3 linked regions of the Macaca fascicularis genome follow. The protein of the gene in region 3 interacts with the protein of the main gene of each other region in a biochemical or structural test. Links are inferred from orthologs where the notes say so. Each region holds a gene or a part of one and is shown on either strand. Other genes may lie near its edges.

Region 1 (3,751 bases), on a different chromosome or scaffold from region 3:
GCTCAGCCATGCGGGAAGCCTCGCAGCACTCAGGCTCCAGCCCTCGACGCCACCGTCGAGGAAGGTCAGCCTGGTCCCGGGCGGGCTCTAGTTCCCCAGTCAAGCCATTCCCCGGAAATTCAGATCAACCTGGGCAGCCCGCGTGGAGGATTCAGCTCCTAGATGCTCGTTCGTCTCAGAAGTGCGCCCCCCCGCACCAGTTTTCAGCGATAGAATTAACCAGAAAACGGCGCGTACCAGGTTCATCACAGGAGGGCGAGGCTCGGATGCCTTGGCCAGGAGTTCTCCTTGCAGCCCCAGACTCGGTTTTGGGGGTACGGTGAACTTGGATACGGGTGAAATCCCGCATTTACGATAAATAATATTAATCAGTACAGACATAATATTAATAAAAATACACCCAAGGGCTGCCTATCTGCGGCCGCCAGAGGCCAATTAGAGTCTCAGGTGCAGGGGTTGGGGGCTTCCTCCCGTGTCCTCCAGGAGGCCAACTGGGCGCGGCCCCGCCTACCCCAGGGTCCCCAATCTCCCCAGGGAAGGGGTGGGGCCAGCCCCAAGGTCCCCTCTCCGGACGCCTGTGGTTCCCATGGCAATTCCCCCTCTGTGCCCCCTCCAGTGGGCTCAGAAAAATGGGTGTGGCCGCAGCACCAGTAACCTTATGCCCCCTCCTCACATTCTCCCGCCAGGCGAAGCAACAGGGCGTAAAGCTGGAGAGGCCCCACCGGGGCTCCCCACCCATCCCCGAATGGGTAGCCAGCGTCCCTCGTTGGGCAACCTGGTGTGGCTTGGCCCTCAGGACACTCGGGGTGTTGGGAGGGGCGTGATCCCTCTGCCGCCGCCCGCAGCGCAGCACGGAGACTCGAATCCCATCCCTTCAGAAGCTTCCTGGCGCCCGCAGACTCCGAGACGAGGCTGCGCGCGGTCACGCCCGTTCCATGCGTGCCGGGGGTCGGGGGGTTGACTCGGGTTCGTCGACCCCAGCAAGCCTCGAGATCCAACAATGGGCTCGGAAATGAGGAACGAAAAAGGAAAGAGGTGCTTGGGGGTGGGGGGAGGTTGGCTAAACACCCTCAGAATAAAAGCCAGAAACCAGGGCTGGGAGCGCAGATCACGTAACCTCTACAGACAAAGCAAAGAGCCCCCGAAGAAGGTGCTGGGTGAACGCCCCCAGCGCTCACGCCCGCAGCAGCAAAACGCCAAGATTTCAGCGCTGATTGTCCCCCTCCCTTTAATGCCAGGCCCCGCCCTGTCCTACGAAGCCCGGCCACCCGGTTTGGCATGGCACCGTAAAGACGTGACACGCCGAAAAAAGATGGCACCTCGGGAGTGGGAGGAGGCACAGCCTATCCTCCCCCCTCCTCGCCCACCAGGATCCACACCCACTGCCGCAGTGAGGGGCGAGCCCTGCGCGCCAGCCCCGCGCCTCCGGCAGGGAGCGCACACGCCGGGCACCCTGCGCGCGGAGCGCTGAGAAAGAAACCCGCCCCGAGATGCACCTGCAGCCCCGCGCCCGTCAGTGCATGGCTGCTGCTGTGCCTGCCCGCGAGCGGGGACCGGCGGCCGCCGACTCCGTCCACATCGCCAGGCCAGGTGACCCCTGCCTTTGCGAGCGTGCACACTGGGATCCTCGCACTGTTCTCAGGCACGGCGCTGCTCGCGTCTCTGTGCCAGGCGTGCGCAGGGGGAAGGGCAACTAAAGTGACAGCGCCTGGACCCCTCCCCATCTCCTCGATTCCTCCCAGCCCCCAAATGTCCCCTACGGGTTTCTGAAGGAGGAAAAGGGGAGGGGGCCGGCCCCCGCCTAAAATCAGGGGCAGTGAAGGCCCTGTCGGAATCACTGCTCGGGAGGTAAAGGGAGGGGCGTGCAGGGAGTCAGTCATCTTTTCTAGAACCCGATCCACATCTTCCTTAGGGCTGATGGCGAACAGCGGCAGGGACAGCGGATTTCAGGTTCGGTTTCGGGGGTCGTTATCGGACCCCTCCCCCCCACGCACGCCCATTGCGGCAAAAGACTGCGGTCGAGAGTGAAGGGCAGCCCCCTCCCCCAAGTCACCGCCGCCGCGCCCCACCCTGCCGGCACGGCCTCCACCTGGGGTCGGCGCGAAGCGGGTGAAGACCCTCCAGCACACACACACGCGCGCACTCAGGCGTGCGTGCATCCCTTGCTCACGTCCCTTTCCAGGCCGCCCTGGCCCCAGCCCCCGAGCAGGGGAGGCAAGGAGGGGCCCTGCGGTCGCCCCGACCGATGCCCGGCGCACGAAGCCCCAGTCTGTGGAGGCTGAGGGCGAGGGGCGGCGGCGCAGGGGTGCACAGGGGCGGACGGCGAGGCAGATTTCGGAGCCGCGGCGCTTACCTGATAGTCGACAGAGGCGAGGACGGGAGAGGACAGCGGAGGAGGAGAAGGTGGCTGTGGTGGCGGCGGCAGAAGGTGGGCGGTGGCAGCGGCGCTGCTGTTGGTGCCGGAGCTGGTGGGTGGCGGTGACTGCGAGGGCGCGCGCCGGCGAAGAGGGCGCGTTCCCGAGGCCGGCAGGCGGCGCAGGCGCGAGCAGCGGGAGCGCGAGCCTCCCCAGGGGAGGGGGCGGGCAGCCCGGCCTCCGCGGGAGCCTTCTCCTCCGGCCACCAGTGGGCGCGCGCGAGCGCCCTGCCGCTCGGCTGTCCGGCGCCTCCCGGCTGGTTCCTCTCGGCGCTGCCCTTTCCCGGTGCCCCTCCCCCTACGCCTCAGGCCGCGGCGCTGACCGCAGCGCGCACGCGCGTTCCATGGCGCACGCGCACTCTCCGCCTCCCATAGCTGGAGCCTTTGTCTCGTTGGAGGGGTGGGTGTCTTCCTTCGGGCCCTGCGGGGTCGGGGCAAGGCCAGTGACTCCGCCAGTGGGTCCCCTGCCCCTTTCCTTTCAGTCAGCCTGAGGCGGTGTCCTCTCCTGGAGAGGTCCTGAGCGACCTTCCACGTGGCCAGCTCCCCAGTCCGCCCACCCCGACCCTCCGAGTCCCGAAATCGCCCCCCTGGCTAAGGTCGCTTTTCCCCAGGCTGCTTCCTTTCTCCTTGCTTTTTTCCCATCTTTTTTGTTACTGACCAAGGTGAATCCTTTCCTTAACAAATTCACTTAAAGCAAGCTAACTCAGTTACAATACAGTAGAACTGTACTTTAAAAAAAAGTATTTGGATCTATGATGTATGTAACCGTGACGCTAGAAAAGAAATCTTAAATTAGACCAAATTGAAATAGTGCTTAACACATCGCAGAACATTTGCACACACAGTTATTTGTATCACGTCTTTTGAAACATCTTTATGCTGTAAGTAGAGTTTGAAGTCTGAATGTTTAAGGGCCAGCTGGAGATTGTCCCCTGGAAGAGGCATCTCAGCCTGAAACTGACCAGTGGTCCTCATTCTACTGGTCACCCAGGCCCCAAGCTTCGGCCTTAGCTTGGATTTTTCATTTCCCCAACGTCAAATTTAAGCCCTGGCAGTGGGCGGATTTCTATGTATGGGGGTTTAGGGCAGCCGTCTCCTCCTAGGGAGATGGGAAGTTGTCTTGAAGCTCCAATTTGCATGGTTCTTACATTATTTTTTAAAAACCAACATATGTTATAGATTAATAGAAAAAGCAAGTAAAATGCTTTATTCACACTGAGTTTCTGGAACTGACCTTTTTCTTTCTTTCTTTTTTTTTTTATCCATATTAACTTTATTTTTAAACAGAGGGGCATATATCCAAAGAAGTAGGAGTGAGAACCACCGTGGGGGCTTGCT
Region 2 (3,651 bases), on a different chromosome or scaffold from region 3:
TGTGACATCTTGATTTGCAACAGCTAATGACATATATTTGCTTGTCAAATATAGTCCTGACTTTAAATTAATGTGTACATTATGATCTGTGCAATGGGGCATGTTAACATTGCCCTGAGAGACATAATTTTTATACTTTGAATTCTCCGTGTCTCACTGCATAACTTAATGGAACATTACATTCTGCCTACACCTTTCAAGCTCAATGGAAATATGTACCTAGTTTCACAGATTAATGATACTATAATGGTATTTTCCTTTGCTTAATGGACTATACACTTAGTTATTTTCTTACTCTCTGATGCTAATGTGCACTTGGTGTTTTTTTTGTTTTGTTTTGTTTTGTTTGTTTGTTTTTTTGAGACGGAGTCTTGCTCTGTCGCCGAGACTGGAGTGCAGTGGCCGGATCTCAGCTCACTGCAAGCTCCGCCTCCCGGGTTTACGCCATTCTCCTGCCTCAGCCTCCCGAGTAGCTGGGACTACAGGGAGTAGTCCGCCACCTCGCCCGGCTATTTTTTTTTTTGTATTTTTTACTAGAGACGGGGTTTCACCGGGTTAGCCAGGATGGTCTCGATCTCCTGACCTCGTGATCCGCCCGTCTCGGCCTCCCAAAGTGCTGGGATTACAGGCTTGAGCCACCGCGCCCGGCCGTGCACTTGGTGTTTTATGAAATGGTGTTAACTAAACGAGTAATAACGGATTCATGCAAAGATTATTAGACCAGAAGGGGTGGGGGCAGCATACAACTCTGGATTTTGCTCCCAATTTTAATATTCTGTTTCTATTTGCTACATGTAGTCAGCCATACCTGCCACAGCTATTTCATAGGGTTCAGTTAAGGTTCAAATGGGAAATAAACATCAAAGTAATAAAAAATAAAAATGCTGTGTCACAACAAGAAGGAAACAATACAGATGTGGTGATTTTGTGATGCAAATGCAGGTTCCAAATTATCTGAAAGATGAAAATGGTATTTACTGGGGTATACAGAACATTTTAGGGAGTGGGAGATACTGACAATTGCAAAATGAAAACCTTTCCAAAGTGTATGTATTAGTCCATTTTCATGCTGCTGATAAAGATATAACCAAGATAGGGCAATTTACAAAAGAGATTTATAATGGACTTAACAGTTCCATGTGGCTGGGAAAGCCCACAATCATGGCAGAAGGCAAGGAGGAACAAGCCACGTCTTACATGGATGGCAGCAGGCAAAAAGAGAACTTGTGCAGGGAAACTCCCCCTTTTTAAAACCATCAGATCTCGTGAGACTTATTCACTATCACAAGAACACTGAAAGGACCTGCCCCCATGATTCAGTTTCCTCCCACCGGGTCCCTCCCACAACATGTGGGAATTCAAGATGAGATTTGAGTGGGGACATAGCCAAACCATATCAATGTATCAAATAAACAGATGACATTTGAGACCCTTGATGCACTCCCCAGAGGAAGGGACCCAGAAGCTTACAGGACCCTGGAAGGGCTGGGGCACAAAGTCCGGGAGTCTGCTGCTCTAGTTCGTGGAGTCATGATGAGCTGTAGCTGCTGCAAAATTGCCCACAGCACAAGGCAGGTGTACTCAGGTGCTCATCTAGAAGCTTCCACCAACTGCACATCTACTGTCTGCCATCAGGAAAGAGTGTTTCCCCTCCTCTAAGCACTTCTGGATCTTGTGCAAAGGCATCACAATAGCAGAGCCTGACTCAGACTCCTACAGGAAAGGGGATTCTGGGAAATGCAACTTGGATTCTCCTCATAAGCAGGAGAGGATGGATGGGAGGGAAGAGAAGATGCAACACTGATGACAGACAGGCCTGCACACTGGGCTTGGCAGATTATCAATTCCATCCTCCTTTTGGATTTAATGATGGCATGGTGTATTAATTTTCTTTTTAAACACACCACTCCTAAAGTGATTGTATTTTAAGTCCAGTGTGATTTTTTTAAAGAATGTCATTTTATTAAAGATCCATGAAATTTTTCTCTCTGCATTGGGTAAGATACCATGTGTTAATATCCAGTTAGGCTGGTTTCTGCTATAACATATTAAAAGTTCACCTGTGAGTCATTTACTGTTTATTAAGAGTGATGGGTTTTGTTTATCTTAATAACTGAAATACTATGAATATTACAGAGGCATGCTTCAGAGGGGTAAAAAGAGACTAAGAAGCTTAGAACAAACATTGTAGAAAGCATTCTTTGGATTTTTTTTTTTTTTTTTTTTTTTTTTTTTTTTGAGCAGCAAGAGAACATTTAGAATAACCAGAAGATCGTCTGCTCAAACACATTCAGAATTTTTTTTCGGTGTAGTAGGAAATATAATCAGAAAGGCTCTTGGCAGTGATGGACTGCACAATTTCTGGTTATGGTTGGCATTGTAGAATGTAGTTCGTGTTTGTGGGTTTTGAGTCATCCTAAGTTCAAATTCTGATTCTGGTACTTATTGTTAATATGTGCCATCAGGCAATAATAATAAAATAGCAGTTACTAAATATTGCATGCCAGGTCCTGTGCCTAGGACTTAACACGTATTCTCTCCTTTACTCCTTAAAATCACACACTGCAAGATGGAGACTATCGTTGTCCCTGTGGTATACATGAGAAAACTGGGGCTGAGTAATGACAAAGGACTTATCCCCACAAATGGAAATCATCTTCTGTGCTTGCCCTTGGCAAAATGCTTTCAGAATCAGAAAATGACAGACATAGTGTTAAATTAAAAATTATAAGAAGGTCAAAAGGAGAAGTCTAGGGTTGTGCTGTCCAATATGGTAGCTATGAGCCACATGCAGCTATTTAAATCATTTAACTTAATGAAAATTAAATAAATTTAAAGTTCAGTTCCTCAGTCTCACCAGCTGCAGCTAAAGTGCCCGGTAGCCATATGTAGCTTGTGGTTACCACATCGAGGAGAGCAGGACATTTCAATCATTGAAGAAAGTTCTTTTGGTCAGCACTGGTCTAGCGAATTCATTGTGTAGATTTTTATAAAAGTGAAAAAAAGCAGCAAAATACAAAGTTCAAATTCTCTGTAGTGTTTGAGCTGAAAACAGAAATGTGGGTAAATATGATGCTTCTTTCCCTGTTTGTGAGGGAAGGAGATGAGGAACACAGATGTTGGGGTTCTTGCCAAGCTTTCACTTAAAGAAAATGAACAGGGACAACAAATGATCATGTTTTTATAACCCCTGAGGACCACAGAACGGATTTAATGTGCATATGCAACATGGCTCATTGTTTTTGTTGTTGCTGTTTTGTTTCTGCAGGTATGCTATTGGTCTTGCTTATAAATCAGCCCCGAAGCATGAATGGATTGGGAAGAACTCTGCTTCCTGGGCGCTCTGCCGCTGCAACAATAACTGGGTGGTGAGACACAATAGCAAGGAAATCCCCATTGAGCCTGCTCCCCACCTCCGGCGCGTGGGCATCCTGCTGGACTATGATAACGGCTCTATCGCCTTTTATGATGCTTTGAACTCCATCCACCTCTACACCTTCGACGTCGCATTTGCGCAGCCTGTGTGCCCCACCTTCACCGTGTGGAACAAGTGTCTGACGATTATCACTGGGCTTCCTATCCCAGACCATTTGGACTGCACAGAGCAGCTGCCGTGAGCGTCTGGCCACATGGAGGAGCTTTCTGGGGAAC
Region 3 (3,651 bases):
CATTGTAATTGGTCAGGGGATACTCTGCCTCCCCTATGAGAAATTGACCAGCTGTCTCAATAAATGTTATATATTATTATGTATTGTTAGAAAAGCAGGCTGCTGAACAATATTGTTTCTAGTTTAAAAATGCAAAGGAAAACTACTGTTTCTGTAGACATACAGTATGTGTGTAAACTTTGTAAACAAAGTTTTAAAAGGATATACAGACAGTCCCCGATATTTTCGACTTAATGATGGTGTGAAAGTGATAGACATTCAGTATACCCCTCAGTTTATGATGGGACTACATCCCTACATCCAGATAAGTGTATCATAAATTGAAAGCATTGTAAGCTGAAAACACACTTTTGACTCGATTATGTTTACAATAGGATTATCTGGATGCAGCTGTGTTACAAATTGAGGAGCATCTGTACATCAGGATTTTATTGGTAACTGTGCCCAAAGGGGTTGGGATTGTGCAGGGTGCTCAAAGGGAACATTTCATTTTATCTGTGCCAAATTTTTTTACAAGAATGTATTACTAATTTGTATAGTTTAAAAAATAGATGTGTTTATCGTTGTGATTTGCCTAAATTGAAATAAAAAACAGCAACAAATAGCATTTAAACTTAATTTTCCTTCATGATTTGAATAGAAATTTTGAGTCACTTTTAGTAAGGAACTTCAGGCAGTCCTGAAAGTCAATTTTTTATTATTCATACAGAGGAGAGCCTTGCAGGTAAACAGATATTCACAGATGTATGTTAACATTTAACTTCTGATAGATTTAAATGTGAAAATTACATCAAGGCAAGATGTACACGGTATATAACCATCTGTTTTCTTATGTCATGCCCTTTTAAAACTTCTGAATAACTTTGGCAAGTTTCTTCTCAGTGTAGGACTTATTTCATTCAGTTATTTTCATTAATATATGATAGGTGCTGAAAAAACACTAGATGTGGTATTAATGCCAGACAGACTTGGTAATGGAATATGCCTAGTGAATTTGTGTTTTTTCATGATAATTAATGGGAAGCTGGAATTACCCAGGAGAGAAAAATTTCAAAATGAAGTAGGATTTGATAATAATGGGTTGTACATATTTCTTAATAGATATCTCAGGCCGTTGTAGTGGCTAACACCTGTAATCCAGCACTTTGGGAGGCAGAGGCGGGCAAATCATTTAAGCTCAGGAGTTCGAGGCCAGCCTGGACAACATGGTGAAACCTCACCTCTACAAAAAATACAAAATAGGCATAATGGTGCACACCTGTGGTCCCAGTTATTCATGGAGACTGAGGCAGGAGGATCGTTTGAACCTGGGAGGTAGAGGTTATAGTGAGCCGAGATCACGCCACTGTACTCCAGCCTGGTCTTGAACTCCTGGGCTCAAGCCGTCCACCCTCCTTAGCCTCCCAAAGTGCTGGGATTATAAGCATGAGCCACAGTGTAAATTGAAAAAAGCACAGTGGAAATTTCTTCTAAACTCAGTAAAATGTTAGGTCACTTTAGGGATGTCACTGGTTGGTAGGCATCCTGAAATAGGCCCCCAAAAATGTTTGAAGACTTGAAAATAGTGGTTCTTAAACTTGGTTGCACACTGAGGAAAGGAAGGGTTGGGGTGTTTAAAAATTATTGATGGTTTGATTCCACTCTCCACAATTCTTACTTGATTAATTAGGGGAAGGGATGGGCGTTGGTGTTTTTGTTTTTGTTTTCAGACAGAGTCTTGATCTGTCACCTAGGCTGGAGTGCAGTGATGAGATCTTGGCTCACTGCAACCTCCACCTCCCAGGTTTAAGCAGTTCTCCTGCCTCAGCCTCCCAGGTAGCTGGTACTACAGTCATGCAGCTCCATGCCTGGCTAATTTTTTTGTATTTTTAGTGGAGACGGGGTTTCACCATGATGGCCAGGCTGGCCTTGAACTCCTGACCTCAAGTGATCCGCCCACCTCGGCCTCCTGAAGTGCTGGGATTACAGCTGTGAGCCACTGGGCCTGGCTGGGCATTGGGATTTTCGATGTGCAGCTAAGATTGCATTACCAATGCCTTGAACCCAGTCCTTGTCATGTGTGGTTGTCATGGCTTGTTAGCAACAATTCTCTGGTACTTTGTTTTGGTATCTTATGTAAAGAGGTCTCTCCCAGTTACCCTTTCCCTTTCCTTTGTGACACTTAACACAGTGTACTTTTGGCTTGGTTACTTGTTTGTGGTCCTTCTTCCCTCTATGGTAGTGGGAATGAGCCATCTTGTTCACCACTGTATGTCCAGTTGCTAGCACGGGACTTGGTACATAGTAGTCACTCAGATGGCTGAGCAAATGATTTTCTCATAGGCATGGGCCACGGTGCCTGGCCAAAAACATGTTTTTAAAAAGTCAAACAGGGCTGAGGTGAGGTAGATTATGCATGTAATCCCAAGCCTTGGGAGGATGAGGCTGGAGGATCACTTGAACCCAGGAGTTCGAGAACACCTGTGCAACGTGGTGAAACCCCATCTCTACAGAGAAGTTTGTGAAAATTAGCCAGCCATGGTGGCGTGTCCCTGTGGTCCCCGCTACTGAGGTGGGAGGTGGGAAGATTCCCTGAGCCAAGAAGATCCAGGGTATAGTGAGCTGTGATCATACCACTGCACTCCAGCCTGGGTGACAAAATGAGACCCTGTCTCAAAAAAAAAAAAAATTGAATCTTTGAGTGCTGTATTGTAGTTAGAACTCTAAAGGTAAGGAAGTAGGTACCTGAATGTCCTGTTCCATTTTCATTGATTTTATGTGGCTGCTAACAATTAGTATTTACTTAGATGGCAATTTGATAGGTTTTTTAAAAACTCCTGGTATTGATGATAGGAATGCACATTTTTTTCCTAGGTAACAGGGTGAGATACCTAATGGATTATAATCATATCTCGCTTATTTTAATGGGATCATAAATGCCTGCAATTTTATCTTAGACTGAGTCTGCCCCTTAAGTTACATTAAGTGTAAGTAAACAAATCTTTGTTAATATTGTTTAATGCCAAATGTATTGCCTTATTTTTGTCTCCCATCTGTAGGCTAAAGAAATCCTGACAAAAGAATCCAACGTGCAAGAGGTTCGATGTCCAGTCACTGTCTGTGGAGATGTGCATGGGCAATTTCATGATCTCATGGAACTGTTTAGAATTGGTGGCAAATCACCAGATACAAATTACTTGTTTATGGGAGATTATGTTGACAGAGGATATTATTCAGTTGAAACAGTTACACTGCTTGTAGCTCTTAAGGTAATTTCAGTTTTATGTTGGGGGTTGTTGAAATGGGTAAGACAGTCCTCTTGAATATTTTTTTCCCAATTATTTTCTCTATCTGAATGTTAAATAAAACAAAATTCCACATTTGGGAATGCGTATGTTCAGGTTTCAGACTTACAAATCATAGGCGTCTGCATTCTGAGTAAGGGGATGGTACAGAATCAAAACAAAAGGAAAAAAAGAATGCGTCAGTCAAATTGTTTGAAAAAATAGGCTGGGTGTGATGGCTCACGCCTGTAATCCCAGCACTTTGGGACACTGAGGCAGGCAGATCACCTGAGGTCAGGAGTTCGAGACCAGCCTGGAGAACATAGTGAAGCCCCATCTCTACTAAAAGTACAGAAAACTAGCCGGGGGTGGTGGCGGGTACCTGTAA

The links.
Region 1: of the proteins of PPP2CA (region 3) and MAPT, one has a biochemical effect on the other in vitro, tested with the Homo sapiens proteins (2 studies listed by BioGRID). The link is inferred for Macaca fascicularis from reciprocal best matches to the Homo sapiens genes PPP2CA and MAPT.
Region 2: of the proteins of PPP2CA (region 3) and MID1, one has a biochemical effect on the other in vitro, tested with the Homo sapiens proteins (2 studies listed by BioGRID). The link is inferred for Macaca fascicularis from reciprocal best matches to the Homo sapiens genes PPP2CA and MID1.

The regions. Positions count from the first base shown.
Region 1 is NC_088390.1:67,473,743-67,477,493, reverse strand, and holds the start of MAPT (microtubule-associated protein tau), read right to left. Parts: upstream 2,487-3,751; 5' UTR 2,354-2,486; exon of another isoform or gene 1,913-2,353; intron 1,667-1,912; exon of another isoform or gene 1,411-1,666; intron 901-1,410; exon of another isoform or gene 776-900; intron 1-775. UniProt on the Homo sapiens protein: Promotes microtubule assembly and stability, and might be involved in the establishment and maintenance of neuronal polarity.
Region 2 is NC_088395.1:10,135,925-10,139,575, reverse strand, and holds part of MID1 (E3 ubiquitin-protein ligase Midline-1), read left to right. Parts: intron 1-3,268; coding exon 3,269-3,617; 3' UTR 3,618-3,651. UniProt on the Homo sapiens protein: Has E3 ubiquitin ligase activity towards IGBP1, promoting its monoubiquitination, which results in deprotection of the catalytic subunit of protein phosphatase PP2A, and its subsequent degradation by polyubiquitination.
Region 3 is NC_088380.1:140,728,436-140,732,086, reverse strand, and holds part of PPP2CA (serine/threonine-protein phosphatase 2A catalytic subunit alpha isoform), read left to right. Parts: intron 1-3,038; coding exon 3,039-3,248; intron 3,249-3,651. UniProt on the Homo sapiens protein: Catalytic subunit of protein phosphatase 2A (PP2A), a serine/threonine phosphatase involved in the regulation of a wide variety of enzymes, signal transduction pathways, and cellular events.